Linked DNA regions of Alligator mississippiensis. The protein of the gene in region 4 purifies or fractionates together with the protein of the main gene of each other region. This does not show direct contact. Links are inferred from orthologs where the notes say so. Each region holds a gene or a part of one and is shown on either strand. Other genes may lie near its edges.

Evidence for each region.
Region 1: the proteins of ESR2 (region 4) and NUP205 purify together in Homo sapiens (affinity purification with mass spectrometry; 3 studies listed by BioGRID and IntAct, with this or other methods). This does not show direct contact. The link is inferred for Alligator mississippiensis from reciprocal best matches to the Homo sapiens genes ESR2 and NUP205.
Region 2: the proteins of ESR2 (region 4) and COPB2 purify together in Homo sapiens (affinity purification with mass spectrometry; 3 studies listed by BioGRID and IntAct, with this or other methods). This does not show direct contact. The link is inferred for Alligator mississippiensis from reciprocal best matches to the Homo sapiens genes ESR2 and COPB2.
Region 3: the proteins of ESR2 (region 4) and UBE3A purify together in Homo sapiens (affinity purification with western blotting; 4 studies listed by BioGRID). This does not show direct contact. The link is inferred for Alligator mississippiensis from reciprocal best matches to the Homo sapiens genes ESR2 and UBE3A.

The regions. Positions count from the first base shown.
Region 1 is NC_081827.1:91,530,724-91,538,284, reverse strand, and holds the start of NUP205 (nuclear pore complex protein Nup205), read right to left. Parts: upstream 3,012-7,561; 5' UTR 2,954-3,011; coding exon 2,926-2,953; intron 1-2,925. UniProt on the Homo sapiens protein: Plays a role in the nuclear pore complex (NPC) assembly and/or maintenance. May anchor NUP62 and other nucleoporins, but not NUP153 and TPR, to the NPC.
Region 2 is NC_081830.1:45,473,512-45,480,351, reverse strand, and holds the start of COPB2 (coatomer subunit beta'), read left to right. Parts: upstream 1-3,831; 5' UTR 3,832-3,938; coding exon 3,939-3,941; intron 3,942-6,453; coding exon 6,454-6,591; intron 6,592-6,840. UniProt on the Homo sapiens protein: The coatomer is a cytosolic protein complex that binds to dilysine motifs and reversibly associates with Golgi non-clathrin-coated vesicles, which further mediate biosynthetic protein transport from the ER, via the Golgi up to the trans Golgi network.
Region 3 is NC_081824.1:341,771,459-341,778,871, forward strand, and holds the start of UBE3A (ubiquitin-protein ligase E3A), read left to right. Parts: upstream 1-4,407; 5' UTR 4,408-4,583; intron 4,584-7,413. UniProt on the Homo sapiens protein: E3 ubiquitin-protein ligase which accepts ubiquitin from an E2 ubiquitin-conjugating enzyme in the form of a thioester and transfers it to its substrates.
Region 4 is NC_081825.1:291,561,614-291,569,231, reverse strand, and holds the start of ESR2 (estrogen receptor beta), read right to left. Parts: upstream 3,017-7,618; 5' UTR 2,794-3,016; intron 1-2,793.

The DNA.
Region 1 (7,561 bases), on a different chromosome or scaffold from region 4:
CATTTGTTCCCAAAGATCCCAATTCAACTGCAGGACAAAAATAAGCCCTGAACCAACTCTGAAACACTGACATGGTCACCCAGGCCTTCTTGTTAGACTTCCAAATGACTGGCAGACTGCTTTTAAGATACCCTTTGAGAGCCCTGGAGTTTTCTGAGTGGTATACAAGCAATGGTTTCAATTTAAAATCCGCTGTAGCATTACCATCAAGCAATAAAGTAAGTCGATCCTTGGACACCCTGAAACCTGGAATCAACTTCTCCTCTCTGGAAATGTAGGTCCTAGAAGGCATCCTCTCCCAGAAGAGGCCTGTCTCATCAGAATTGAAGACTTGTTGAGGCATATAAACCCCCTCCTCAATAATTTGCACAAGCTTATTTCTACAGCTGGAAGCTGCTTGGGTGTCAGCACTAACAGCCTCCCCCTGAATAGAACCATTATGCAAGTTGCTGTGCCTCTTAAATCTTTCGGATCACCCCTTACTTGCATAAAAAGGCTCAGAAGCAGACCCCTTGGGCAAATTTTTCTGTAAATTATCATGCAGACTCTTAGCCTTCTTCTGAATAAGCAGCATACTCAAGGGCATATGGCGTTGAGTCGTATCCTCAATCCACACACTTAACAGCTTCTCCATTTCTAACATAATTGGAGCCCTACGCATACTGGGTTTCAAAGCATTCAAAGGAGTTACAAATCTATCACATTCTTTTATTTTGTCTTAAATTTTCAACAGCTGACCCAGACAAATTCAACGCTCTACAGACCTCATTCTGGCATTTCCCTGCTTCAATTTGCTTCAGGACATCCAATTTAAGCTCCAGCATTATGCATTTGCACTGTTTTTTCTCAGCACTTGCATTCTCAGAGTCAGCTGCACGTCTCTGACTCATGGCACAACTCAAAAAACAAAGCAAGATGGTGACACAAGCACAAAAGAGCAAGAAAGAGCACAGAGCACAAAAGTTTTTGACAAAGCAAGATGGCAACGAGGCTGTGCACCGCTGACACTCCCTGCCCGATACATGAGTATTATAGCAAAACCCATGAACGCTAAGTGAAACCGGGCATCAAAGTGAAATGAGCACTATAGCGAAATAGCGTTAAAGAGAGGTTGCCTGTATACTTTAACTTTAATTACTAATACACCCTCACTGCACAACAGCCCCACATTTTCCATCATGATTTTCTTTTTAATTATGTGGCTGAAGAACCTTTTCCTATTGGTTGGAATTTCCTTTACAAGCTCTAACTCAGTAACTCAGTGTGACTTCTAGAACTTCTCACTTTATTGCTATATCTCCTAACCTCTAAGACTGACATCACTTAAGTAGCAAAACCAAGTACAAAGAACATTCATGCAGCATTTCCAGTCTTCCATACTACCCCATACAGTTTACATACCGTATGTATGTATGTATGTATGTACATTGTTCTATAGAATAGAGACCTGACATAAAGGAGACTAAACAATTCTCATTCTCTCAACAGAACTCAATTGAGACAAATTTCTGACATCTGATGTTCTCTCACTTACATATAAACCAGGAGTGGCAGTCACAGAGGGGATGAATTACTACATATTAGCAACAAACAAATTTAAAGCTTCAGGCAAGAGCTGCTGCATCCAGCTCTGTGGTCTGTGTCAAGGCAATTTTAACTTCTTAGCAACCGAGGCCTGCACAAACAGGGGCCACATACTGAGGGAGCTGCAAGCTCACCCCACACCATGTGAGTAGGCAGCTCTTTTCACCACTACTTTACTGCACATGTGGGCTGCCTCTCCCCACTGATCCACGTGCTCATCTATTTGGCCACGGGCTCCCTTGGCACTTCAGCCTGCATTGCACTTAGCCATGCTGTTCTTTTCCCATCTCTGAGGCAGGGGCAGGAGGTAGAAGCCAAAGAAGGGAGGGAGCCTGAAGACCCTGGCTCTTGCTGCTGCTGTCCAAAGACCAGCGTAGTAGTGGCCAAGGGGAGTCCATGAGCAGCAGATTAACTTCTTGTAGACTGCACACGGCCCATGAGCCACCAGTTGGATAACCCTCCTCTGTGCCGCTCAAGACTACATCGGGGTTATCAAGCATACCCCCAGGGGTACTTGAAAAGGGGCCAGGAGGTACGCATGGGTGAGCAGGAGTGGAGCACCGCCACACACCACCCCGCACCACCACCTCCCAGGAGCAGGGCCAGGGGTGGGGGTAGTGGCTCCCTTCTGCAGGCCACACAGGCACTGCCCAGACAGACAGATGGATGCAGTGGGGAGGAACTCACACATGGCAGCTGCCACCACCATCCACCACCCACACGGTGTGTAGCCCCCCCCATATCCAGCCACCACCAGCCAGAAGTGTACCTAGAAGGAGTACACTCCTTAAAGAAGGTTGAAAACCTCTGGACTAGATCACATGTGCCTATGCCATGGCTTGCAAGCCACAAAAGATTCCTGGAGAATGTAATGTGAATCCTCAAGAAAAAGAAGCAGCTAAATAAAAACCTTTTCTTTTTCTTCTGTGTCTGTTTATTACATCCTACATGTGATTTGCTTCAAAAAAAAGATAACGATGCATTATTACAGAGCTGGGCGGCAAGCCAGTCATCGACTCCAGACAGTCAGCATAAAAAACGTTGATGTGCCTGCCTGCAGCGCTCGGCTACGGCTAGAAAGGCTGGGAAGTTTGGTCCTGCCTGGACTGGATAACAGCATCGCCCGACAGCTTCACGGAGCCAACACACCACGCACCCGGCACTTAGCTATCTGGACGTTTGGTCACGCCGCCTACAGGCCCCGCTCTCCTGCCGCCGCCGCCAGGAGCCCACGCGGCCCCGCTCCGCGCGCACGAAACGGGAGGGGGGGGGGCAGCACGCGCGGGGCAGGGGCCACACACGCCGCCACTCCGCACCTCGGCTTTTTTTTTTTTTTTTTACCTGAATTTACCGCCAACGGCGCCGCCATCTTGGAAACCGACTCCCGCGACCCGCCGCAGAGAGGCCCAGAAATAGCGCGGGGCGTCCGTCGGAGTGCCTGATTAAAAAGCCCCACCTTTTGCCCCCAGTGCAGGGTGTAAAAGCGGGACGCAGTTGCCCTCATACACTACTGTGCCACTCGCAGAGAAATTTACAACACTCTTCGTTACTCAGCATCCCGAGACGCTTTCAGACAGGCAGGGGTGCCCTCGAATTCTTGGGCTCCTCAGGGCCCGAGCGCGGGAGATGCTGGGAGTTGTAGTTCATGCCTGGACTGCAGAGATGCCTAAACCCACGGGCTAGAATCCCCACGTGCCACCGGGCGCCTCAACCGAGGGTAGGCTGAAAGGGTGAACGGGAAGCTGGTTCCCTGCGGGAGCCCAGGCACTACCCATTGGGCCACGTGTTTTAGCGGTCCCGCTCCCAGAGTGGCTTGATCCGTGTGACAATGAGGCACCATGGACACATCAGTCAGCATCATTAATCACATCTCCTATTCTGGCCATTGACAACGGTAGTTATGCATTTCCAAAAACCACTGGAATAGAAACCAGACATTAAAAACAAAAACTGCTGCAAATAAATTGATTTTGTGGCTTATTGAGTCACATGTTTTGGTAAAAGATGTGATTGTAATTTGTAACTGCTCGTAGGGGTGCAGGTTGTAGCTGCGTTGGTCTAAGGACATAGACAGACACATTCTTTGGGTAAATCCGGTATCTTTTATTAGAGTTTTATTAGATAAATATATTGGATTTACCCAAAGCACCTTGTCTGCCTGTGGAATTGCTTGCGTGCTTTTTTGGTGGTGGCATGTTTTTCAGGTCAATGCTTTCTTTGCATTAACGTGCCTCAAACTTGTTAATAAAATGCTTTTTCAGGTGATAAAGAACTAACAAAATTAAACACAGGTATAAATGTCTACAGGATCAGGGCCACAGGTAGAACATTTTTTTTCTGTATTTTATCAGTCTCATATATTTAAAATAACATATCAATTTATTCCTGTTAACTTTAATTCCCTCCCTCCCTTTTTCCAGATCTTAATGATAAACATGTCTGTTTTTATGCCTCCCTCCTAGAGAAAATTTGTGAAAGGTTTTTCCATAAGGGTGTGTGCATTCATGTCACTAGCACCTAAAGTTAGTTGAAAACATTGGGGGGGGGGGAGGGTCATTGTAAAAGCATAAATCGTTTTTTGTCAGTTTTCAAAACCCAAAAGATTTCAATCTGTATAGTTTCTCATTGAAAAACTGGAAAATTTTAATAGACAACAAATTTCAAAACATTTTGATGAAAAATGGCCTTTCAGTTTTCTAAAATACAAATTAAATTCAAATGTAAATTAATTTTGTTTTTGAAAAAAACCAATGTTTTGAACCATCTCTACTAGCAAGTGTACTGGATTAGGAATCCATGTCTTGTGTCCTTTTTATGATAAACTTGGGTTTACACTCCAGTATACAACAAAGGCTTGCCTCAACTTGGGGCAAAGAACACTGAAATTGTGGAAAAATAATTTCTCAAAAGAAAGTTGAAAGAACTGTTAGGAGTGAAGAAGAAAGGACAAAACAGCCATTTGGTTATACAGCTAGAGCTACAGAATAAGCATTAATACCTGACAAGACTCCCTTGTCTGCAAGTAGCATGCTGGCCTCATGCTTTTAAATAATCTCTTTCTTAAGGCCCCACTAGCCATTCTAATAATTGCAGATTTGCTTTGGCAATTTCCATCTTGTGTTACCATAGAGATAGAAGATGACACTAAAAGATGTTTTCATTTGAGTGGCCAGTAGTTTTCACACTGAACTTTATTAAAATTATTACTTCTCTGGCTACAAAACAACGTTCAATAAACTACATTCATGGGAAAGAGACAGCAGATAGACTCAAGAAGAAAAGAGGCAGAGATAATGGGATGGGAAAGGAAATAAAAAAGGCTACGCAGAGAAAATAGGGACCCTAGAATAAAGATCAACAGCCCACAGCATGCATGCCGGATCAGGCCCACCAAGTAAACAGATTTGGTCTGCGAATCCTGGACACATCTGCAGCGATTCGGCAGTGGGAGGATGTCTGCCGCAATTGTTGGGGAGGTCAGCTCTGCAGCAGGGACCAGTATTGCTGGCCGGGGGAAGCCACCACAGCATTGTGGTGATGGAAGAAGCGGAGGCAGTGGCAGCAGCCAGGTGCATTAAAGCAGCCTGCTCTGCTGCTCCAAAAGATTGCTGATGCCTGCTCTGGAAGATGGCTGAATAGGGAAAGACAACTAAGGAAAAAAGACCAAAACCAAAATAAAACCCCAGAAAGACAAAATACAATAGCCAATGTAGAAGAAGAGATGTACAGAAAGGAAATGGGGGGTGGGGGAGGGACATCCTAGCAGAACATTTCCTCTTATAGGGTTTAGAGGATGTACATTTGAGAAATGGAATCTTCTTTTTTGTTGCCCACTCCTCTTGTTGAACTAATTTGTCCTTCCAAATCTCCAAATCTTTTTCCAAATCTTTTCTGAATCAATTTGGCAGCTCTGAATCAATTCAGAGGGTTTTTTTGGTCTTCCAATTCTATTTGGATTCGGTGATTTGGCCTCTGAATTGGGCCAAATCTTCTCCAACTCGAATCAGCGACCAAAACTTCACACACCCTTAGTAGGCAACCCCCGGCACATGTGCCAGAGTGTGGCACATGAAAGCATTTTGCTTGGCATGCACACCTCAGGGTTGACAGTAGGGAAGGGCCCGGGGCTGTGCTGCCACAACAAAGATCAGGGCCCTCATGGCTTCCCTGCTGTCTGTCCCTGGAATTCCAACATCTTACAGACAAGGTTGTGGGTGTTTTGGGCATGCTGTTCAAAAACGCATCTGACCCCTGATCTAGCAAATGAATGCACATGCCAATAAAGTTGAATTTGGTTTTGCTTTGATCTTAAACTGAATAATGTATCTCTGGGCTCCTAGCATATTAGCAAATCTTCTAATTTCTCTTTAACTGGAGAAAAATATTGATGCACCACACCATCTGCGCCCCTCTTTTCAAAATCAGAGATCTACTCATGTATGAAACCTGTGGTGGCACAGTAGGGGGCACTACTACTCAGAGCCACCTGCCTCACTGTGCCAGGCCCAAAAACCTCACTTGGGAGTCTCCCACAGGGTGCCTACAGCCAGCTGTCCCACTTCCTGGAGAACACCCGCAACTCTGGGGTAACGCTGCCACCACCCAGGTACTGGTTTCTGTTAGAGCTCTGTGGAGCCCAGGGCACACAGATCCTGTGAACCGTGTGGTTGCTTTGCCCACAGGTAATATTTCTGGGTGCCTGTTTTGGCCCAAAGCATCCCAAGATAACCTCAGGTAGGACTGAGGGAACATAAACAGACAACCTCCACTGGCTAAGCTGAAAGCAAAAAGGTCTGCCTCTCTCCCCTTCATTGTACCATAGCAAAGCACACTGTAACCTGTTACCTTCATTGATCAGGGCGGGAGCAGGGGTAGAACAAGGAAGTCAGAATACACTTTGAGTAAACATAAGCAATCAGAGTCTTATACAGCCTTGGACATAATAATCCTTTTAAAACATGCCTAGCCAAGACATAAATCCTAACTCCTGGCTAGTTTCTAAGTCTTTACTTACAGAAAATCATCCAGGCAGCAGCCTGGAGGTATATTGTCTGTTGCTTTCAAAAATGCCTGGCACCAGGAAGGGAGCATACCCCACTCCCCTCAGGAATTTATCCAGCCAGGTCACCTGGTTGACCAGCCTGAACAAAAACGAAAGCGAGAGAGAGAGGGGGGGGGGGGGGGGTCCACCTAGAATAACCAAAGTGATGAAGAAAGAAAGGAGGATTTCTTCACGGACTCATCCCAGGATAGTTCTGTTCTGGTACAAAAAACAGGTCTAACTAGTCCTAGGATAACATCTGCTCCTAGCTCAAGATAGCTATTTTAATATTATAAAAGCCTAAGTCTGTCCGACTGCCTGTCTGTCTGTCCATAACACTTTATTTACGCTTTGATTGGCTGACAAACAGCCAATCAGAGCACAAAGAAGTGTTTTGACAGAAGGCAGCCTGCCGCCATGATAGTGGGGATATAGGAGACGGCCTTGCTCCCCCTCCACCCTGCTCCCTGGAGGCAGCAGCAACAGAACGGGCCCGACACAGAGGGGAGGAGCAGAAGCACCATGGCATCAGCGGTGGCAGTGGGGCCAGGGGAGGACTGGGCCTGGGCCTCACGCGGGGCGGTAGGGAGCAAGCTCAAGTCGGGGGAAAAGCCAGCCCACCACAGCAGTGTGGGGGGGAACAGCAGGCCCGGCCCGGCCCAGCCCAGCCCAGCCCAACATGGCAGCTGCAGGGGAAGGGGAGAACGAGCCTCCTCTCCCCGTCGGACCCGGGTCCACTCCTCCCCCAGCCTCACTCCCCCGCATCTGCCCCAAGCCCACTCCTCCCATCGCCCTGCTGCTGTCAGGTTGGCCTGGGCCCGCTGCTCCATTGCCTCCCTCCACCGCCACGGCCTGGCTTCTCCCCACCCTTGGGCCCAGTCCTCCCCACATCGGGCCTGGACCCCAGGCAGCAGGAGGAAAGGGGGAGTGGGCCCA
Region 2 (6,840 bases), on a different chromosome or scaffold from region 4:
TCTTAAACTTGTACAACTGGAAAATGAATGAATGAATAAACAAAAAACAGTGTCCCATCCAGCTGAGAGGCAATTTTATTCCCCTATTATCATTCAAATCCAAAACTTGGCAATAGTGTTACTCCTAAAGTTCTAATCATTAGCACTAGGATTGAAGCTGAAATCTTGGAAAAAGAAGTTCTAACAGACCGGTTATATTAAAAGGTTATATTAAAGTCTGATTTAAAAAACCAGTCTGATGAAACACTCTATCATTGTTTTCTACTAACTACTCTTGAACTTATAACCTCATTTTGTAAGTTATGCTTTACTTCAGTGCATCCAGTAAATTATAACATATTTTAATAATGGCAGGATTTTGCATACTTTATTATGGAGCAATTTTATTACACTTTTATGCCTTTAAAAAATTAGTTGAAGTATCAAAAATAAATTACTGCAGCCTGCAGTGCACATCAGCCAATCAGTTATGTAAAATCACTGTTTTTTTCTTTTTCTTCTTTTTGGTTTAAGTATAACCAATGTATAATGGGGTGTCTCAGTTAGTCTGGTGACTTTTCAAGAGGAGCTGCCATATAAGGGAAATATAGTCTGCAACAGTAAATATGTTCCAGCTAGTTTAATACTGTACGGGAACTAATTTGTGAAGACCAAGTGTGCAATCGAAAATTTTAAAACAACAGCCAGTTTCACATTGTGCTTTTTGACATGCCTGTTCGTTTTTAATGTGAGAAATACCTGTAACAAATAATAGGCGAATAGTTTGTATATTAACATTTCTCAAATCCTTTGTCAGTCGCTCAAGGTCTTCCTTCTTAGTTCTCAGAACTTGTTCATCCCTTATATTAATTTTCTGTGCTTTTGGTTTTAAAACATTAAGGGTCTCTGGCAGGAATTCACAAACTAGGCTGATTTCATGCCACTGCAAATTCCTTCCTTCCTCCTTCAGCTGTTTTCTTCTTTGTTAAACATCCTTCTCTCACCTTCCCCTACTGAACCCATGTGCACTATCAGCAGCTGCTTTGAAACTTGCTTTAGACTTCTTTTTAAATCTTCTCCCTTCTTTGGACAGGACTTGCTGTAGGAAAAAGAACTCCTCAGCTAAGGAAAAGCATTCAAAAAGCTTGAGCCTGAATGGATTCAATCTTTTCAGGTCAGGCTAACTTGGCTAGACTTAACCAGTTAGTAACGGGAAAGACATCCCTTCTGGACTGAAAAAATGCAGGCGCATGCCTACAGTGGCTCAAGTTGGGTGGGGCTACAGCATCCCTCCCTTCCCTTCCCTGGCAGGATGCTCTAATTTGGGAGAGCTGGAGGGAGGAGTTCTTCCCCTCCCCACCTTGCTGCTCCTGACAAGCAAGGGAGTCAGCAGGGAGTTACACAGCATTTATCAGCCCAACAAGAAAACAAAAGCTTCTCTCATCAGTTGAAGCTCTTCTTAAACAACTTTTTCCAAGGAAGGAATGGAGTACCTGCTGACCTGTTAATTAGCTCCAGAAAGCCCTAAGTGGACTCTGTCCTGTTCGCCTTTGTCCTATCTGCCTTACACAGACACCTCTCAGCATTACCTAGCTGACCCCATGCTGGTTATGGTCCGTGCTGTGGGAGAGAGGAGGGGGGAATCCCTGCTTGAGCAGGGAGTGGTGGTGGGAGGAAGGGGCACAGGGAAGCCAGGCAGCTGTGCCTGTTGTTTCTGCTGGAGCTCCAGCCACGGAGTAGAGGGGAGAGGCCAGCCCTGCTCTGGAGCAGAGAGCCCCGCCCAGAGCTGCAGCAGGGGTGTGGCAGCAGTGAACAGGGACCTCCTGCAGGTGGCTGCAGCAATGTTGGCAGCGGGGCATGGGGTGGTGAGCACTGACAAGTGGTTGACGACCACCCACAGACACCGCTGGTGGTGTTGGTGGCGAGGGGGGAGGGTAGTAAGTGGCGACTGCCCGCAGGCACCACCGACACCGGCCAGTCTCAAGGGGTGCATCGCTAATATCAGGGGATGCATGTGCACCCCCTACACATCACCAATGCCTAAATAAATTAATTCTGGTACTACATTCAACCAGGTTTATCTCAAACCAGTTTCAGCCATTTTCAAACTCGTTTATGTGCATTGAGTGTCTGTTCTGTTACAGGTTTAAACCAGTTTCTGATCATTTAAACCAGTTTATGTGTAATGTCTGTTCCTGACCCTCCACTATAACTTCTCTTCTCCCCATGTTTTTTAAAACTCCTGCTTTCACCACCCCGATCTTTTTTTTTGCTGGCTCTTCTCTCCTTCCACCTGCCCCAAAGCCCTACAATAATAATAGCCTCAACTGTTTAAGATGCATGAGTCAGACTCCAGGTATCATGAAATTGGCTGCAAAGTCCCAGAGTTTAGGGTGTGCTCAGATCATGGTCTCTATAGCTTGTCTATGATGAAGGTCTTGATCGAGGGTCTCATTACACATGATCTTGTTACACCCTCGATACAACCATGATCAAGGGTCTTGTTACACATTTCACTTTGATCTGCTCAAATGTCAACCGGGATTAGGGCCTTGTTACACCTTACACCATAAGCCACACAAATGTTGATCAGTGTTAATGCTAGCTTGTGTTTGGAGCGGTCACATTAAAAACCTTCTCTGACATCCCCAGCGGCAGTGCTGTGACTTGCCACTAGAGGGCTGGCAAGCAGGGGTCTAACTAGGTGCTATAGCTGCAAGTTGCCTCTACGAAGGGGCTCCCAACCTTTTTAGATTGAAGACTGAAACCGCAGACCAGAAGTGGCTACTGACTTGGAAACCACGAACTAGCAGACAACGTTTTTTATACTCAGTATAAAAAAGGGTTGGCTACTGGTCCGCCGTATGCCAGTCACTTCCAGTCCACAGTTTGCTGGTTCACGGTCACTTCCGGTGACACCGCGTGGGGCCCTGTGGCTGGAACAGCAGTCAAGACACTTCCACCTGGCGGGCGGGCGGGAGGAACCAAACCTCAACTGTGGCAGCCACCACCACAGGATAGGATGGGCTGGCCCTCCTGTGGACAGGCAGCCAACCGTTCGCGGCCCTACACCGCCACAGCCCAGGGGTTGGGAAGTCCTGCTTTATGGGGCTGGTGAGCCAGGACAGGCTTGTATCCCTGCTTGGGGGTGAGGGCAGGATGGGATATGAAGCTGGGAGGTGGACAGGAAATGGGTGAGGGAAGGGTGGCGAAATGACTCAAGTCAGTCGCTGAAGGATAACATAAAAAGTTAAAAAGGAAGGAATTTAAAAAGAAATGAAGAAGTAAATTAAAGAAGGTCCCATGTTTTAATAAACGGGGATTTGTTGGTCGTGCTTTCCAGGGTGGCCGGGCGGTGGGAGGCAGCCCCAGCGCACGGGGCCGGCGAGGGAGCGGGCTGGTGCCAGGACCGCCCCCGGGCAGCAGAGCTCTGCGGTAGGAAGTTTGTCCACACAGGGGCGCGGGGGAGGACACTGCAACCTGGGACGCTGGAGGACTGCAACTTAGGCGAGTCTGTGAGGCGCAGGCGCACGCTAGGCCTGAGCTGGGTCAGGCGGAGCGGAGACCAACCTGCCCGGCAGGAGCAGCAGAGCTGCGAGCCGCCTGATGTGCACTGGAATCTCGCTCAGGCGCGGCCGTGGGAGCGCGTCCGGAGCCGCCCAAAATAACGTACGCCAGGACCCCCGCGACCCTGAGCTACCTGCCGGCAGCCCTGGGAACTACAAGTCCCAGCAGCCCCCGCGGTGGCACAGCGCCTTGCGGCACGAACGGCCGGTGCTCCCCGTCGTGCCTCGCTCCCGGCGCGCCTCGATCTCGCGGCCTTTGGGGCCGGGAGCGGCTAAGTCCGATGTTCTCGGCGGTCTCTCGCGTCTCGCGAGAGCAGAGGTGGCGGAAGCTCCACGTCGCTGTGTCGGGAGCAGGGAGCAACACCTTGGCGTCCCCGCGGCGTCCCCGGAGCCATGGTGAGGCCAGGCCGGGCCGGGAGTGGGTTGGGGGGCTCTCGCTCCGTGCTGCACAGGCTGACGCTTGTAAAGGGGCCGGGGGCCGACGAGCGCCCTCTTGCCAACCCTGGCCTGCTGCGTCGTTCCCCGCCCGAGGAGGCTCCCTGACTCCCTGCACGGGCTGCGCTTGCTGGTGCTGCCCTGACGGGGACCTGGGGGCCGCGACAGCAGCACACAAGTCCCTGGCAGCTGTCCAGTGGCTGCCCCTGTCACCCAGTAGCTGGCAGCTGCGAGACCATCTCAACCAGAAGCTGCTTTCCCAGGATGAGTCATTTGGGGCCGTGATGGCACTAATACAGGCGTCCCCAAAACCTTCAAGCAGTAAATGTGCACAGCCGTCTCTTCCACTGTGTTTTAAGACAACTGTGCTCAATTTTTTGACCTCACAGGCTGGATTGGGCTCCGTGCGCCAGGCTCAGGCCCTACGCTTCCTCTGCCAGCCCCGTGCTGGGATTGTGGTGCAGTGTTCACTGGTCTTGCATGCTAGGATCAGGGCCTGCATGCCAGGGGGGACCCTGGGGCCTTGCGCTGCCCCCGCCCAGCCCTGTGCAGTGGGATTGGGCCCTGGTGTGCCACACCGTGCACACTGGAATTCGGCCCCGCACTGCACAGGGCTCTGATATCTGGCTCGCAGGTCTGGAAATTTGACAGCAGGGGTGCCGCACCTTTGCTCTCTGGCTGCTAAATTGTCAGCCTTGGGGAGCTCCACAGGCCAGGTAACATGATGCCAGGGGCCAGATTTGGCCTACAGGCTGGGAGTTGAAAGTGAAAAATTAAAAGCCTTCAGCCAGCTCACTGAGTTACAAGTTCTGTGTGTATCTGAGAGAGTCTTCAGGTTATATATGCTATAACTGTGTGTCAGCTACTTATATTTTAAAAGGAAAGAAATAATGTTTACCGGATTTCAGAAATATAATAAGTCTAATATTTGCTAATGCCAGCTTTAGTGTTCTCATTTTGCTTTTCAGTTTGAAGCTAGTCAAATGCTTACATTGCATTATTTCACCCATTTGGGAGGATAATCTTTCACCAGAGAACTTGTTAAATCAAGCAATTCTAGGTCAACCCATTTTGTATGTACTATTGAGAATTAAGTTTGCTCTTTTTAGAATATTCCATTCTGTGGCATATACTAGATGCTCCAGGGAAAAAAATACCTTGGTATAGCATACCCATAAAATGTCAGGTAACTTAGTTTCAGATTGCCAACACTCCTAAATAAAGAGGTCAAGATCAGTTTTGTTTCATCTGGCTTGGCAGCTGATAATGGACAAGTGTTTTTGCATCATACACAATTGCCATATTTTGTGGTAACTGACATTCTCCCTTGAGTTCTCAGCAGAAGCCCCAAGAGAGGAAAAGATATTAAGATCTACTGACTTTTTTGTCTTGGAAGCGTTTATTTAGCCAGCCAGTAGAAGTTTAAGCAGGGCTGGGTAATTATTTGGGCTGGACACTTAAGGAGCTTTGATGAGCTGTTGAGGGCTGGGGGGTTGTGGGGAGGAAGTGTTGAACTGGCCTCAACCTGTCCCATCATGGCTGTTTATACCACCCTGCATGCCAGGGGAGGAAGGAGAGAGGCATGGAGATGCCAGTTGGTCCTATCCAACCCCAGGCCTGTTTGTCCCACACCCTCCAGCAGGAGTGCCAGGTGAGCAGGTTCTCCTGGGTGACTGGCACGCTGCTCCCTGCCCAATCATGGCGCCATCCCACCCGCCTGGCTGAGAGTGCCTGCCTGTGGGGTCCTGGGCTGGTCTCCATGGAGACCCTGCCCATCCGCCTGCTCCATCTGGTGCCCCTGGCAATAGGTGCAGGGCAGGCAGGCTGGGGTGCCTGGGCAGCAGGGCCAGTTCTGGTGGCAAATGCTGGCAGTGGCAACCAGAAGAAACCAGTGCTGCTGGGTCTGTCAGGAAGCTGGTGTCAGCCATGCCACCCTTGCCCAGCCCTGCAGACTACAGCTCCTGGAATACCCAAGAGCTGCGCGTAGGGATAGGGTGGGCTGTGCTTTGCACCAGATAGGATCTCTGCATCCGGGGACAGCAGGATTGGTTTTACACACCATGACCTGCATTGGATAGAATCAGTTGGCAGGCTAGGTCTGGCCCATGGGCCATATTTTACCCACTCTGGGGCTTAAGGCTACATGGGGCAGAGTATTATGAGGTTATGCATGGTTTTGTTTTTTTAATGTTATTGTTCAAGTAGGTGAGAGGAGAAATACACATCCTTTGCGCTCCTTTGGGACTCACTGAGGTCAGTGGTAGTGTTGCATTCAAAATCAGTGCCTGTATGTTTCAAAACATCTCTTATCAGAGCAAGAAGATAAGAGAAAAGCCATAATGTGTATATACCTGGAAAAGCAGAATCAGATAGGTATATTTTTGGCCTGTCATTTATTTGGTTGGGTTACAAATATGTTAAGATTTTCAGTGCCAGTTTTACACTGAATAACCTAGGGTTCTTAATTTTATAGCCTCTCCGACTTGATATTAAGCGAAAACTAACAGCTCGGTCTGACCGAGTGAAGAGTGTAGACTTGCATCCCACAGAGCCATGGATGTTAGCTAGTCTTTACAATGGAAGCGTCTGTGTTTGGAATCATGAAACACAGGTAAAATTTCTGTTTTCCACTTTTTATTTGAGCAATGTTAATATATAATAATGCTTTGATACCCATATGCTGCTTACAGTGATGAATGAAATACATTCCACTGTAACAGATGTGAGGAAATTTAATTTATTAATAAAGGATTCATTGCTTTTTTATCTTAAAAAAATATTGCTCTCTTTACAAAGGGCCTGTTAACTATCTTTATCTTGCTGGATGGAAAAGGGCATAGAAACTAGAGGTACACCGATA
Region 3 (7,413 bases), on a different chromosome or scaffold from region 4:
TTTAGTCTATGGCCTGTAGGTCAGATCCTGTCCCCAAAGGGCATGTGTAGATGAAACGGGGGCCCTAAATAGAAGTGGTGGGTTTTAAAAAACACCGCTTCAATTTAGGGCTGATTAAACCCCTGTGTTGTGCACACACCCCGCTGACTTACCTGCATCTCCGTCGGGGAGGGGAAGATGAGCTGCCAGCAGGTGGAGCAGTCCCTGGGCTGAGCAGGGGAGGGGGCTGGTGCTTCCCTCCATGACAACAGCAGCCCCCGCCCCAGGCTGCACCTGCCCACAGGCATCTGGCTTGGGCGGTCCCAGGGGGCACCACAGCTGCAGAGGGAAGCACCGGGCCCCCTCACAGCTCAGGCAGGCAGGCTCCAGGGGGGTGGAAAAAAAGATCATGCTCACTGCTTTTCTTGGGCACAGCCTGCTTTCCCAGGCTGCTACCAGGCTGCCTGCAGGGCTTCCTGCAGAGCTGTGGAGCTGCACGGAGTCTGGTGCTTTGCTCTGCAGCTATAGGGGCAGCAAACTAAAAGTCCTTGAAGGAGTTTGTTTGCTGCACCCCAAGTCATTTAAGTCGTGTTACACCGCCGAATTTCCTACAGCGTCTGGAATTAATGCGCAATACGTAAACGAGGCGTGCAAACACTGACACCATTAAAGCAGTGCAAAAGCATTTAGCTTGCTTTAAAGTGTCATGAACACACGCCCCTTGTTTCGTCTACTCACGGCCAAAGTGACTAGATCCAGCCCATGGCATGGGAAATTAACAGCAAGCAGCTCAATTCAGCATGTCTCCTTCCATGTCTGAATCCTGCTACTGACCCCTCCATAGACTTCCCTGCTCTCTCCCTCTCCCCTTCACTATGGCAGGTGCTCCCTTCCTCTCTCCTTCCCTCCCTCTGATGCTGGCAGCCACTCCCCTGCACCAACTCTCCTTCCTGTGGTGGCCCATGATGCAGCAGTCACAAGCACCTAGCCCACCACCCTAAAATGTTGAGTTCCACTGGGCCAGCACCATCAGTGTGGTATTTGAGAACTGCTACAATGTTTCCACTCACTTTTCTCTTCTTCAGAATGAACACACTTAGTTCATTTAGCTTTCTCTTGTAAATCATGTTTCTTAGACTGCTAATAATTTTTACAGCTCTTCACTGGACTATTTCCAATTTCTCTGTCTTTCTTGAAGTGTGGTGCCCAAAACTGAGCACAGCATTCCAGGTAAGTCCTTGCCTCTGCTGAAGAGAGTGAAACAATCACTCCACTTGAATTACAGATAATACTCCTGTTATTTTGGGGGTTATGGTTTTTTGGGGGGGTTTTGTTGTTGTTTGTTTTGGGGTTTGTTTGTTTGGTTGGTTTTTTGCAGCAAGAGCATACTTGGCTCAGATTCAGCTTGTGGTCCACCATGACCCCCCAGGTCTTTATCTACAGCAATTTATGTTTTTGTGTTTGATGGTTCCATTTTAAATGCAGTATTTCATGCTTGTCCTTATTGAGTTTTAGTCCATGAATTTTGGAATTATCATCATATTTTCTTCATTATTTTTCCAGTTTACCATGGTCATTCTGAATCCTGATCCTATTCTCCAAAGTGTCTGCAACTCCACTCAATGTGATATCATCTGCAAATTTAATATTTGCACTCAATCCCATGCTCTAAATTAGGGGGTCAAATATACCTAGCTCCCAAGGCCAGATCCAGACCATGGGGTTTCTCAGGGGTAGGTAGCACAAGGGAACTACACAGCTAAATGCAGAAGCCATTTGCCCTACCACCAACACATTTATCCAATGGGGCTCCGTACTCCAGATTTCAGCAGCAGGTCCTGCCCCCAAATTCCCAGCCCCACTAGAAGCCTTACTGTTCTGATTACACAGCCCCATGGGCTGTATGTTTGACACCCCTGCTCTAAACTATTAATGAGGATATTAATGAAACAGTACCTAGACCCAGGGCAGACCTTTAAGGAACCCCACTTGATACCTACTTGAAATTAGACGCCCAGACACTGATAAATACGTTTTGAGCACTTTGATCCAACCTGTGATGTGTCTGCCTTACAGCAGTTACATTTAAAACTAGGGTGACAAATGTATAGCCCAGCCTGCAAAGCTGATCTATCTGGCCTGGGGGCTCCTGGCAAGTCAGGAAATTTTGGGATGGGGCTAGCAGGGAGTACTGCTGAAGAACCTGGGGCTACAGATCTGTTGGATGTGGCTGGCAGCAGAAGAGAGTGACCGAAGGGGTGACACAGTCCTGTTCACCCCACGGCCATATGGCCCCTTAACCACCGTCACTTGCCACACCACCACAGTAACCTCTGCTGCTTGTCTCACCGCCAGGTCCAGATCCAACCCATAAGAAACCCCATAATCCAGATCCAGCCTGGGGTACAGGGTAAGTTTGACACCACTGACCTAAACTGTATTTCCTTAGCTTATTAATGAGAACATCACCAGAGATGGTATTGAAAGCCTTACTAAACCTGAAGTATATCACATCCACTGACATCCCTCTGCATCCACAACACCTGTCTCCTTATCTTAGAATAAGTTCAGGTTGGTCAAACATGACTTGCTCTGGACAAATCCACATGGGCTTTTCCCAGTCACCTTGTCCTCTAGGTGCTTAGAAATAAATTCCTTCACAACATGCATTCCTGCATTCATGCAGGCATTTGGGCTAGACAACATTTGAGGTACATTTCAACCCTAAGAGTTTATGTCCTATGAAAATTATATTAGATTTACAAAGGGTATTTAAAGTATCTACATAGAGAAACAACCTTATAGCTTTCTGAGGGTAATGCCACTGCTGCTTCTATGGGGATAAGAAAGAGCACACCCCACAGCTGGTCTTAAATGGGAGATATTTAGTAGAAATACCAAAAGCAGAAATTCAATAAATATGTGTGCCCTGTGCAGATAGGATCTGTTTTATATTCCTGTGTGAAGAAGCCTGGACTCCATTATGACTGTGGTTTAAACAAGATTACGATTGTGGAGAAGCTGACGGTGTGAGTGCAAAGCTTCCCCTTCACTCAGCACTGGAGTTACTTACTACACATTATGTTAGAACATGAGTGTCAAAAATACAGTCCATTGGAGCCCTATCATCTGGCCGCTGGTGCTGCCTGTGGGTCTCAAAGTTGAGCCACAGGCAGCATGCAGGGTGTGCCACGTGCAGTGTAGCCCCGGGGCTGTGCTGCTTAGCCCCAGAGCGTCCACCACACGCAGCAGTCCCAGAGCAGCCAGAGCAGAACCGAGCTGCACATGGGACCCACTGCATTTGCTCCAAAACACATGGTGGATCCAGCATGCGGGGCTCGTTTGTGGGTCCCATCAGACCATACACCACTTATCCAGCCCCTGGGGCCGGATGAGTTTGACACCCTAGCCCTAGAAGGAACAAGTGAGCTTCAGCCCACAAAGGTTTGTGCTCTATACATATACCTATGTGTATACATACACACAGGGTTTGAATTATACTTTGAGTCTTGTGGGGGGTCTGCAAAAAAAAATTGGGCTGGCCATCACAATGTCCTAATAAAATCAGAGTCCCCACCGCAGGTTATGATTTTCAAATCCTATGGGGGGCTCTCACCTCTTGGGGCGGGGGTTAACCCCCACTCCTGAGCTCCCCTGTATATGAACGCTGTATATACACATATGTATATAGATACACACGATATATATAGTATATGTATGTATAATGTATATCATGTAAATATGTGTATACATACGCACACACATTTACATTGTACACACAGGTATATACATACATGCATATGCACGCATGGATGTATAAATGCATGCATATGTAGAGACACAGGGATGTACACCCATACGCATACCTGCATATACGCATGTATACATGTGTGCATATGTACGTGCACATGTATGCAAGTGTATATCCACTTGTGTCCATACAGACATATATACATGCATGTGTACATATATATACATACCCCCACATTTCTGCATACCTGCACGCCTATGCATGCGCACATGGTCTATACACACACACACACACACCAGTCACACACGCGGGCGCGTCTGTAGGCCCGCAGGCCGCCACCCCGCGCGCGGCCCCGAGCGCTCCCGCCAGCGCGGCCGCGCGCGCCCCGCCAATCCCCTGCCCGCTGGGGCTGGGGCGACTGTGGTTCCACGGGGCGGGGCGCCAGGCTGCTGCCCTCTCCCAACATGGCCGCGCTCGCATCGCCGCCCTCCCGCTAGAGCCTCTCGCGAGAGGGAGAGGCCGCGGCACGAGAGGACTCTATGGTTCGGAGCGGGAGGAGAGGAGAGGGGAAGGGGAAAGGTAGCCAGGCGAGGGAGGGAAGGTAGCCAGGAAGGAGAGCAGGGTAGAGCGCCGCGCTTGCGAGGCACGCCGGGACAGCTCGCTCAGCCCCGCGAGTCCTCCGGGGCTGCGCCGCGCCGATCTCCGCGTTTGCTCCCAAGATGGTGGCGCCGGGCGCGGGCTCGGGCTGACACAGCGGCGCCCGCAGGGCCCAGCCCCCGCACCGCAGCGCGCCCACGCCCGGCCCGGCCGGCCCGGCCGGAGGCGGCGCCGGGGAGCAGGCCGCAGCGCTCAGGTCCGCGCCGGGGCCGGGGCTGGGGGGCCGGGGGAGACTGGGCAGGGGAGGCCTCTATTGCGCGGGGCTGGGCGGGGGCCGGAGGGGGGGGGGGCCACGGGCTTCCGCGTGACCTTGGGTGAACCGAGCGCGGCCGTGACTCAGTTTCCCCCTGACAGGGCCAGAGAGCGAAGTGGGGCCCTGGACCAAGGGGCCAGGCGCTCGGCCCGGTGTGCACTGCCCGGGCCCGGCTGCTGGGGTGTGTGTGCGCGCACATATACGTGTGTGTATTTGTGCCTGCGCGTGGTCGTTGCGGCGGGAAGGGCTGTACGTGGTGCGCGTGGCCCCTGTGGCGCTTCAGGCAGGTGCTGGCTTCAGCTGCAGGTTTCTGGGTTGGTTCTGGACAGAGGGAGTTCCCCCCCCTCCAGCAGGGAGGCAGAGGCAGGGTAGACCCGCCTCTTTATAGACTAATCAAATAAGATGCATAGTGAGAGAGAGAGAGAGGCAGAGATGGAGAGAGCAGGCGCAAGCCTAAGCTTTTGTAGGTTGGTCTGAAGTCAAGGTAGACCTGCGTCTTTATAGACTAATCAAATAAGATGCATAGAAAGGAAGACAGAGCGCAAGCTGGTGAGCATGAGCAAGGATAAGCTTTCGTAGCTTGGTTAGAGTCAGCCCGAAGTCAGGGTAGACCCTCCCCTTTATAGACTAATTAAATAAGATACATATATAGAGAGAGAGAGAAACATCATAGGTGAACAAGCAAGTATAAGCTTTCAGAGCTCGTTCTGAAGTCGGCCAGAAGGCAGGGTAGACCTGCACCTTTATAATTATATAAGATAAAGAGAGAAAGATGAGAGTGAGCGCATGAGTGCGAGTGAGTGCAAGCAAACACAAGTGAGCATAAGCTTTCATGGCTTGGTCTGAAGTCAGCCAGAAGGCAAGGTAGACCCACACCTCTATAGACTAATTAAATACAATACATATGTAGAGACACACATGAAGAGAGCACAGGTGAATCCGCAGGAGCAAGCATAAGCTTTCATGGCTTGATCTGAAGTCAAAGAAGGCAGGGTAGGACCACACCTTTATAAACTAATTAAATAAGATATATAGAGAGCATAAGCTGTCATGGTTTACTTCACCATATGTTTTGGAGACTGCCTTTTTTGGGTGATGCTCCTCACTGTCCAAACTTATGGCCTGACTTTTTGCAGGCTGGAGGCTTGTGGCTATTCTCCAGTGGCACCAGGGGATGTGAAGCCAGTGGTGGAACAGTGCAAACCTTTACACTATTAAATGCTCCTGACTTTGGATGTATAACTACAAATGCCACTGATCAAACTCGTAGCCTTAAGGTTGGCCACACTGTGCTGTTTTCTGGTGCTTGTTGCTTTGGGGCTCTGGGCTGCTCTAAGGCAAGGAATGTGGTTCATTCCTGCGAGCTCATCCTTGCAAAGCAGACCTCTGTTTCTGTACAGAGTCTTATTGGTTTTCTTAGGCTGGGTTTCAAAGAAGGCATAAGGTGTCACAAGAATCCGGTTATCAGATCAAGGCCCTGTTTGGTACAGGGCATTGAGCCTCTTGTTTCTACCAAAAAGTCAGTTCTGCGGTTGAAAACCTTGTGGTGTTGTAGTTGAGTGTTATACACCACTCAAAAAAACAAACAAACAGTAGGCAAGTCATTTAGGAGAATGTTGTGTGCTGCAAATGCAGTTAGCCCTGGGAAAAAACTTTAAGGATGCAAAGTTTCTGGCTCTGCATAACACTGCGAAATCGAGTTTGGCACTTGTTATGAACAGTAACTGTATTCATCTACTAAACTAAACATATACATTTTGTATTCTAACGTGAACATGACTCACTTCCTCCTAATATCACATTGTCTAAATCTACACGTTTTGACTAGTTGTTATGGAAAAAAACCAACACATTAACATTGAATATGGTGAGCAGTTCCAATACAAACCAGTCTTGAAGCAGTGATAATCACAGTAGTTAATGCAATGTTTTCATATTGGAGTTAAGTCTGTATCTAGAAAGATTCTCTCATTCCCCATTACTGTATTATTTCAGTGCCTCTCATATAGTTAAAAAATTCAGTCTTTCTTCCTTCCTAGCCTGCAAAAAAATAATAATAATTTGATTTGATTACTGTATTTTATTTTTGGCTTTCTGTGGGGAGGAAGTGCATTTTTGTATACCTTGGAGAAAGTTATTGAAGGAAAGCTAAGTCAAAGAAATGAGATGTGTAATACATGGGGAAAAAGAAGTGGTCTCCAACTGTCTTTACCTTTTTGGGACTAAATGCCATAGTCTGGATTCAGGTCCTTATGCATTGCAACATTGTGTCTCTGGTATCTTGCTGTCCTTTATATCACATACACAACTGTAGGTTTAAAACTCACTCTGCATACAGCTGTGGTTGCTAAATGACTTGTTGGTGATACTTGTAAACAGTTGGCAGTTCTTATGGGTTTTAGCAAATTAATAAGTAGGATAGGTACAAACATAGTCTTTCTGTAGTAGTCCTGTACCTATTATAATTTCTATTTTCAGATTATTAATGGGCCTTTTCATGTCATGTTGGACTGGAACTTCTTACAAAAATTACTGGCCTGGGAAGAGGTTCCCTAATTTTAAATGTGTGAAATTTTTAGCATGCAAACTTTCAAAAGTGATAGTAGCTGGGTTGATTTTCAGAAGCTTTTCAGTGCAACTCTCAAAAAAAAAAATGGTCACTACATAAAAGTTAAAAAGTGTAATCCTGCTGCTCTTGCAAAACCCTTAGTATATTTGTTTACACTAAGCTAAGCTATTTTCCACTTTTTTTTTCCTCCTTAACTACCACCAG
Region 4 (7,618 bases):
ATTTGCTGTTGACTCATGGGACTAGGAGTTCCCCATTTCTTCCCTATATATTACTTCTGGTTTGCTAAAATACAAAACCAAAAGGTATAATATTAAAACTCACTGGCCGCATCTAGATGTGCAGGGGCATGTGCTTCCAAGGGTACAAATAGCAGCAGCACACATTTGTGCCGCTACTTGGTGCCACAGCTCACACCCCTGCACATGTGCTTTGGTGAGGGACAATTGTCCTGCTTCAGACAAACTGCCTTTCCCTGCTCCCGCCATGCTGGAGCACAAACAAAATAGCAGAGATGCTCTGGCCAACAGCCAGAGTGTCTCCCTGGAGGACCAAGCCTCTGTTTGTTGCTTTTTTTCCTTTAGTGGTTTTTTTGCTACCAGGAAAACGTGGTAGCAAATTTTGCCGCCATGCTGCAGATTTGCAGCGCAGGGCACGTCTTAATGGTCTGGGCGTGTGGTTTGTGGTGCCACAAAGAGGTTTGCAATGCTACAAACCACACATGCCTGCATGTCTGGACGTAGCCACTGTCTCAACAGATTGAGTCAATGAGTTATTCTGGGAACTGTCTTCTTTTTTGGCCCTGATATTTTTCTTTCCTTGGGGACTAGATTGGCACACCCTTCTCTGGATACTTCCTCCTGATAGCAGAAGCAAGCTGCTCACAGGCATGAAAGTGTATGGAGGAAGATGAGTGTGGGAAAATGAGTTTTCATATCACCTTCTTCCTCTGAAATCATTATCCCTTTCTCTTAGCTGTCCATTTTACTCATATGTGTTTGAGTGGGGAAGAGAAGGGCATTCAAGAACCAGCATTAAAAACTGCATTAACCAAAGAAACCAAAATTTAAGCTGTTGCATGTGTGTGTGCATATTGTTTCTCTTAAAGAAGCCTGAAGCAAAAATAGCTTTCCAATAGTTTCATATTTTTATACTTCATCCACTCATTGTCACCTAAATACACCTATAAGGGCTGATATTTGCATCTGGAAATCCTGCCACCCAAACAACCGAAATGCCTTAGGGTTATTCTGTTGAAGACTTCAACTATTTCTTCACTTCAGCTTTAAAAGTATGAAAATATTGGGAAATCAAAGGATCTAACAGAAGCATAATATTTTAAACGTATCTTCTCTAACTTCTCTGAATTTCAAGATCAGCTTCAAATCCCACACTGGGTAGCATTTTTTACTGCTATCACTACCTCTTCTCCTCTTTCCTTTTTGCTATTCCCTCCCCCCTGCTCCTCCTTTCCCTTTGGAAAAAATCTATAAGGAAGGAATCTATTATTGTCTGGGCGCATGTAATTTTGTTATGCTAAGTATGCCAATGCTAGCTCTGTTCCTTACTCTGAAAAGAACGGGGAAAATCCGGTTTCAATCTTACATAGACATTTTGTGTATGATTGGAAAGAGACTGAATAGACCATCTATCTTTGCTAAGTTAGTGTATATAAATAACATTAACTAGATACAGTTCACAGGAACTTTTGTTAAAACCTGAAAAGTAGTTACTGACCATTGTGTGCTGGGAATCGGAAATGTAAAAGATACCAGTTAAAAGATACTATCCTCCCACATTATTCTTTTTCCTCCAAGAGATATCTGTGGTTGCAAAAATAATTTCAGGGGTGTGAAAAGAAATAAGATTGCTACTTATACCCAGCAATTCAGATTCTGAGGCTGTATCGCTTAATATTACAAAGATTGCTTCTCTGGGTGCTGTCAATCCTACCAAAACTTTTTTTACTTAGATGAACAGCTATATTCTTTATGTGCTGTTTTCAGGGGTTTTATGTTATTAGTTTTATGAAACAGCGATGTCTGTATCAGACTCGACTGCAATTCTATATGCATTTTATTTTTTCCAAACTTTAAGTCTTATTAAATGGGTCTAATAATAAGATTAGATGATTCCACTGTTTTTTTAGGCAGATTACCTAATTAATTTCTATGAAGATCTCTGCTTACCAATGATGGCTTCATACAGTTGCATATTAATATTAATTCAGAATAAATGTATTATCTTAATTTTAGCATTATATTTCCAGTTATAACACCAGGACCTTAGAATTTTTTAAAGGACCCTTAACAAACAAGGCTTGCCCTCTCTTGTCTACTTGGGAAAGCTTTTTCCAATATCAAAGACATTTAATTATATTTTAAAAAATGAAGCAGACACCTGGCAGTGAAATCTTAGCCACTGAACAACAGAAATGGGAAATCACTTAGGCAAATAGAGTAGCTGAAAGAACAAAGATTGAAAAAGGAGGCTCCTAACATCTTTTGGAGCTTCAACGCACCACAGTGCAGGAAGGGTCCAATCCAAAAGCCACTTATGTCAAAGATTCCTGTTTAATCCATTGGATCAGACCCTTCCACATTAGCAAATGGCTTTTACAATGCGTTATCGTAAAGAAACTCTCAAGTCATTTGTTTTCCTAGAATTTGCATGCAAATATTCACCTCTGCTTCACTCCAGCAGTGCCATGTTAATAAACTTTTGTTAAAAACATCTTAAGAAAAAGAATCAAGATTCTATAGTCCAGAGTCCTGGAAATGGTACGAGAAACCAAAGAATTTTTGGAGGGATAAACCTGTTTAGGGATTATTTTTATCTGCACAAGCCAACACACATTGATCATACTTTAGAAACCATAATTTGTAAAAGGATAAGCCTCTTAAACCATAAATTAAATGAGATCACAGCACAGAAGTATTTTACTGTTGATATACCTAGTGGCTATCAGTTTTTACAACATTTAACAAATATATGTAACCCAATTCACCACATACCTGATTGATATCGAATAGTTTTCTGCTCTTCGGGTTTATCTCACAGCATTAAATGCCAGCTAGCATTTCACCCATCATTTCTGGATTAGTTTCCCTTTCTTCTGTTTCGCAGCCATTCTAAAATCACCATCACTCACACCACAGGGCAGAGGATCTGAAATACTGATCTTGATAAAGCAGCGCAATGCCAGCTCATCAGTACAAGATTACACAGACACTCTCAATGTTTCCTTTCCCAGTGGAGGCAAGACCTAAATCTAAGTTCCTCCCCTTTCCTTCTGACAACAAATTCATAAGCTTGTTGTTCCCTGCAATTAGAGCTCCTACAGAACTGAAGTAGTTTTATAAGCCAAGTATTGTCATAGGGCGCCTGTACACAATGTTGGCTTTTTCTAGCTAAAGATATTCCCTGGGTTTATTTCACTCTTGCAGCGTACCACAATGATTCCCATTACTATTTTGCACGTAACACGTTTAACACTCAGTCAGACCAAAGTCATTCAAATAATCAATTAACCAGCAACAGTGGATGAGGTTTTAAAAGCTAAATTAACTTTTCTCCCCCCATAAAGTGTGAATGGAGAATCTCAATATAACCAGTCTGGTTTGAACTTGAACTTTTAATCACTTCAAACACTTGTGGTCATCTATTTACAAGCTTCATTAAAAGCATATCCTGCAATATTCTCTAATCTTGAACGTGCATTCATATTAGCAATGTTTAACAGCATGTCTTTTCAAATCGAGAAAGAAATTAACTGGACACCGTGTAATAGGTGACTCAATTGCTCCACGAACTCACTAGCTCTTATTTTTTAAAGCATTTTGAAAAACACTAATCACAGTGCAAATCTCAGTTATGCACTACAACCACACTTCTGTCCGTAAAAAAATCTTCTAAGCAAAGTGATATAAAGCAGCCCTTGGGGACAAGTTTCAAAGGTACTTAGCCACCTACAGATAGCGTGTAGTCTATAGGTACCAAGTGGAATTTTTCAGATTCCTGAACAAGTTACATGCCTAACTCCCATCCAAAACAATAAGTGTCCACACAGCTTACTGAAAAGATTTCAAAAATCCTACAAGCCACCTATCTGCATTTTCAGGAACCTAAATACCTTTACAAATCTGAACCTTGGAATAAATGATGCTCAGGCCATCACAAAGCTGCTTTGGTCTTTGCTCATCATCACTAATTCTATTCACTTTACTACAAAAAGTAAAGCAATCCAACTAGAAAAGTCCATCACAGCTCACATGTCCTTTAATTAAGAGTGGAACTAAACTCCATTAGCCCATGATGGCACAGGGAAATGCAATCTGTGGAAGAAGCATTGCCTTTAGGATGCTGTTTGTTGGGGATGTGGGGGTACGGGAAAGGTTCAAGAAGTTTTATAAGCCCTTTCCTGCAGAGATTACTCTGACCTGCCAAATCCCTGTCCTTCCTCCCCAGGTTTCACATGGCGATGGCAACTTATTAGTACCTCAGGGTTTTTGTTTTTTAGTTGAACCCTGCATAGACTTCAGGTGGATTTGGGACCATGACACACTAGAAGCTAAAAGACTTTTTAGATTAAGCACAGGTTTGGGGGTTTTTTTGCTTATGCTATATATTAAAGTGACAGTACTGGAAAACCTAAAGAGTGGGCACGAAAACCAAATTGCTTCTGCAGAGTATTGTGCAGTAAGTTGCAGATTCTCCAAATTCAATTTTCCAATTCCTGTCCCATTGCATGTTTGTGTGTCCTGGCTCAGTCAAGATCAGCATTGGAGCCTAACTGATATGTCTGTACATTCAAAGCATATTACTTAGTTCTATGTTTTAGACCAAGTTTTCTCTCCATACCATTAAAGCCTGCTGGTAAAATTGGAAAAATATGCCAAGTAGTCTCGACATCTGTTGTCAGCACTGATGATGAATGCACCTGTTGACAATGATTTAACTGCAGGAGTGGAAAGGGCCAAACCAAGGGACTTGTATCACCACTCGGTTAATGCTCCAAATGTGTTTTTCCTGTACCAATCTTTCAGATTCTCCAAAATGTATTTCAGGCCTGTTAGGGGGTCGAAGCACCGCACCTCCTCCTGCTTTGGGGAGTGTCGACACTACTCCTCACTGTTAAAAGACACCTGCAAGACCCTACCCCAAACTGCATGTTTGCAGCAATGAAGTGGGATCACAAGCCCCACAAAAAAAAGAAGGAAAATGAGTTAAATATGTTAGGCTCAAACCAGCAGTGGGTTTGCCAGAGAAAATGAATAAGAAGTTAAGAACTACTGCTACCCCAGCTTCCTGAGGGAGAGCGCCTCACGTCACCCCGGATTTCTGAGAAGGATTCCCTGCCGGCTTTCGGAGGTAGACGAGGGCAGGTTGGCCTCTCTAAGATATGAGTCATGACTGTGCATCTGTAAACAGTATGAATTGATTCCCCTCACCCAACTCCTCCACAGCATGCAGGAGACAGGTGCCTGTGTCCAATGCAACAGCAGCTCTCCACCGCCCAGCCTGGCTCATGCTGCCACCCAGTGTTGTCTGCACAGGCTGGACCCATCTCTCCTCCTGCAAGTGCAGACTTCTTTCTTGATCCAGGAAGGGCTGGGTGCCTGGGCCACTGGTCTTGTTCATTCGCTCTGAACAAGCCCTTGGCTCACTCACAAACCAATGCACCTGCGAAGCTGAAGAGTCAAATTCCAACTACCTGTGAGAGGCTTTTTGCTCACTGGCCACAGACTGTCACTTTTGGAAGTCAGGCTCTACTTACCACGTTCCCAACCTCAGGGGAACAGGAGAAGAAAGGGCACCGATTTGCTTTCACACCACAGAGCTTCATATTGTCAAGCAGTCCCATGTTGAGACACAGCATCCCCACTCTTGGTGCATTTCCTCCGGACTTGGAAGTAGCAGAGCCTTTGGGATCAGGAGGGCACAGCCTGGGTACGGGATCAGGAGGCCACAGCGTGGGTACGGGATCAGGAGGCCACAGCGTGGGTACGGGATCAGGAGGCCATAGCATGGGTACAGGATCAGAAGGGCACGGCCTGGGTGTGGGATCAGGAGGCCACAGCATGGGTACGGGATCAGGAGGGCACAGCCTGGGTGTGGGAACAGGAGGCCACAGCGTGGATATGGCTGACTGGGGCAACTCGCATTTAAATTCCTCAAGGAGGCCAGGAGAACATTTTTCAAGCTGCTTGGCCAGGGCATTGGGTAGGTTTATACTAGAGCAGGGGTTCCCAAACTGTGGTATGGGTACCCCTGAGGGTACACAAATCATCTCTGGGGGGCACGCAGGAGAAATTGTGTAATGGTGAGTTTAATTTTTATTATAATAATAATTGGCATTTAAGGGGTTAAAGTATTCTGGTAAGGATATGTGGGCAGCTGGTAAATCTGGGAGGGGGTATGCGATAAGAAAAATAGGATTACTATGTCTGAGTTTTCCCAGACATGTCCTCTTTTTGAGTCCTCCCATCTCTGTCCAGGCAGGTTTTTCAAATCTGAGCAAATGTCTGGGTTTTTGCTTTGGTCCGCTGGTGGGAGCAAGGGGAGGGATGACTTTAGGCAGGGAGCTGCAGACAAATAAGTCTGGGTTGGGGGCTGGGGCAGGGTAGGAGGGTCGGGGGGGGGTTTGCCTGCCTCCAGCAGAGGGGGAAGGGGATGGGGGGGTGCCTTTTGAGGGCCATAGCCAGGCTGGCAGCACAGGTGCTGGTGCCTATGTTTGCAGGGGCAAAACGGCCTGAAGACGCTGTGGGGGGAAGGGGAGCGGGAGGTGGGCTGTATGCTGTCGCTGGGCCTCCTGGCTCAGCGTGGCAGCCCCAGCCCGGGGTGGAGGCTGTCACAGGACTCCCTTTCTCTGCCGTACAGCCTGCACTGGGGCTGGATTTGCTCTGAGCCACCACGCTCTGGCCTGGTCAGGACAGGGGCAGCTGGGGCCCCTCTGGCAGGGCTGGGGGGGAGCAGGGGACTGTGGGTCAGGAGTGAGGGGAACCAGCGGGCAGAGTACCGTGTGGTTTGGGAGTGAGGGGCACTGGCAGAGCTGGGGTATGTGGGTCAGGAGTGAGGGACAGCACAGGACTGGGGGAGGGTGGCTTGGAAGCAAAGGGCAACAAAATAGGCAGAGGCAGGGCACTGCTGTATCCCTGCCTGCCTCCCCCCACCCCCACCATGCAACAGGTGTCCTCTTTTTTAGATCTGAAAATATAGTAACCCTAAGAAAACGTTTGGGAACCACTGTACTAGAGGGAACCTGGAAGGAGCCACTCAGCGGCACTGCTTGAGCACGGGGGCTGTTTACCCCCCGGGCTAGGTTCACCTTCAGTCCCTGCTCCTCCACGCCAGCCAGCTGACACAGCCCAGCCACCGGAGGGATGCAGAAGCCTCTGCTCACAGACCCGCCCCCCACTCAGAGGCTAAACACCAGTGCACCCTCCTGCATGCACTCGGCTTCTGGCTGGTGTCCAGCACCTCTCTTTCACTGCAACCATCTAGCAAAACAGACTCAAAAGGAGGGATGAGTGTAGCCTGCAACTGCTGGGCTCATAAACAGCAGAAACTAAAACCTGATCTCCTGAGGGAGAAGGCCAACCTGCCCTTGTCTACACCACTGTCCAGTGCAAGCCTTCAGGTTTTTACTTGAATCAAAGAGAGCAGAGGGTCCTCAAAGACAGGGCCTTAAGGCTGCTCTGGCCTCCGTGGTAAGACCAATTGACACAGCCACCTGCCCTTTGGCTTGTCTGATTCACCCAGAAAGCACTGCAGGCCCTGTTAAAAAACACTAGTGTCCAAGCATTCAATAGTAAAACATGTGCTAAGTGCCGTTGTAGT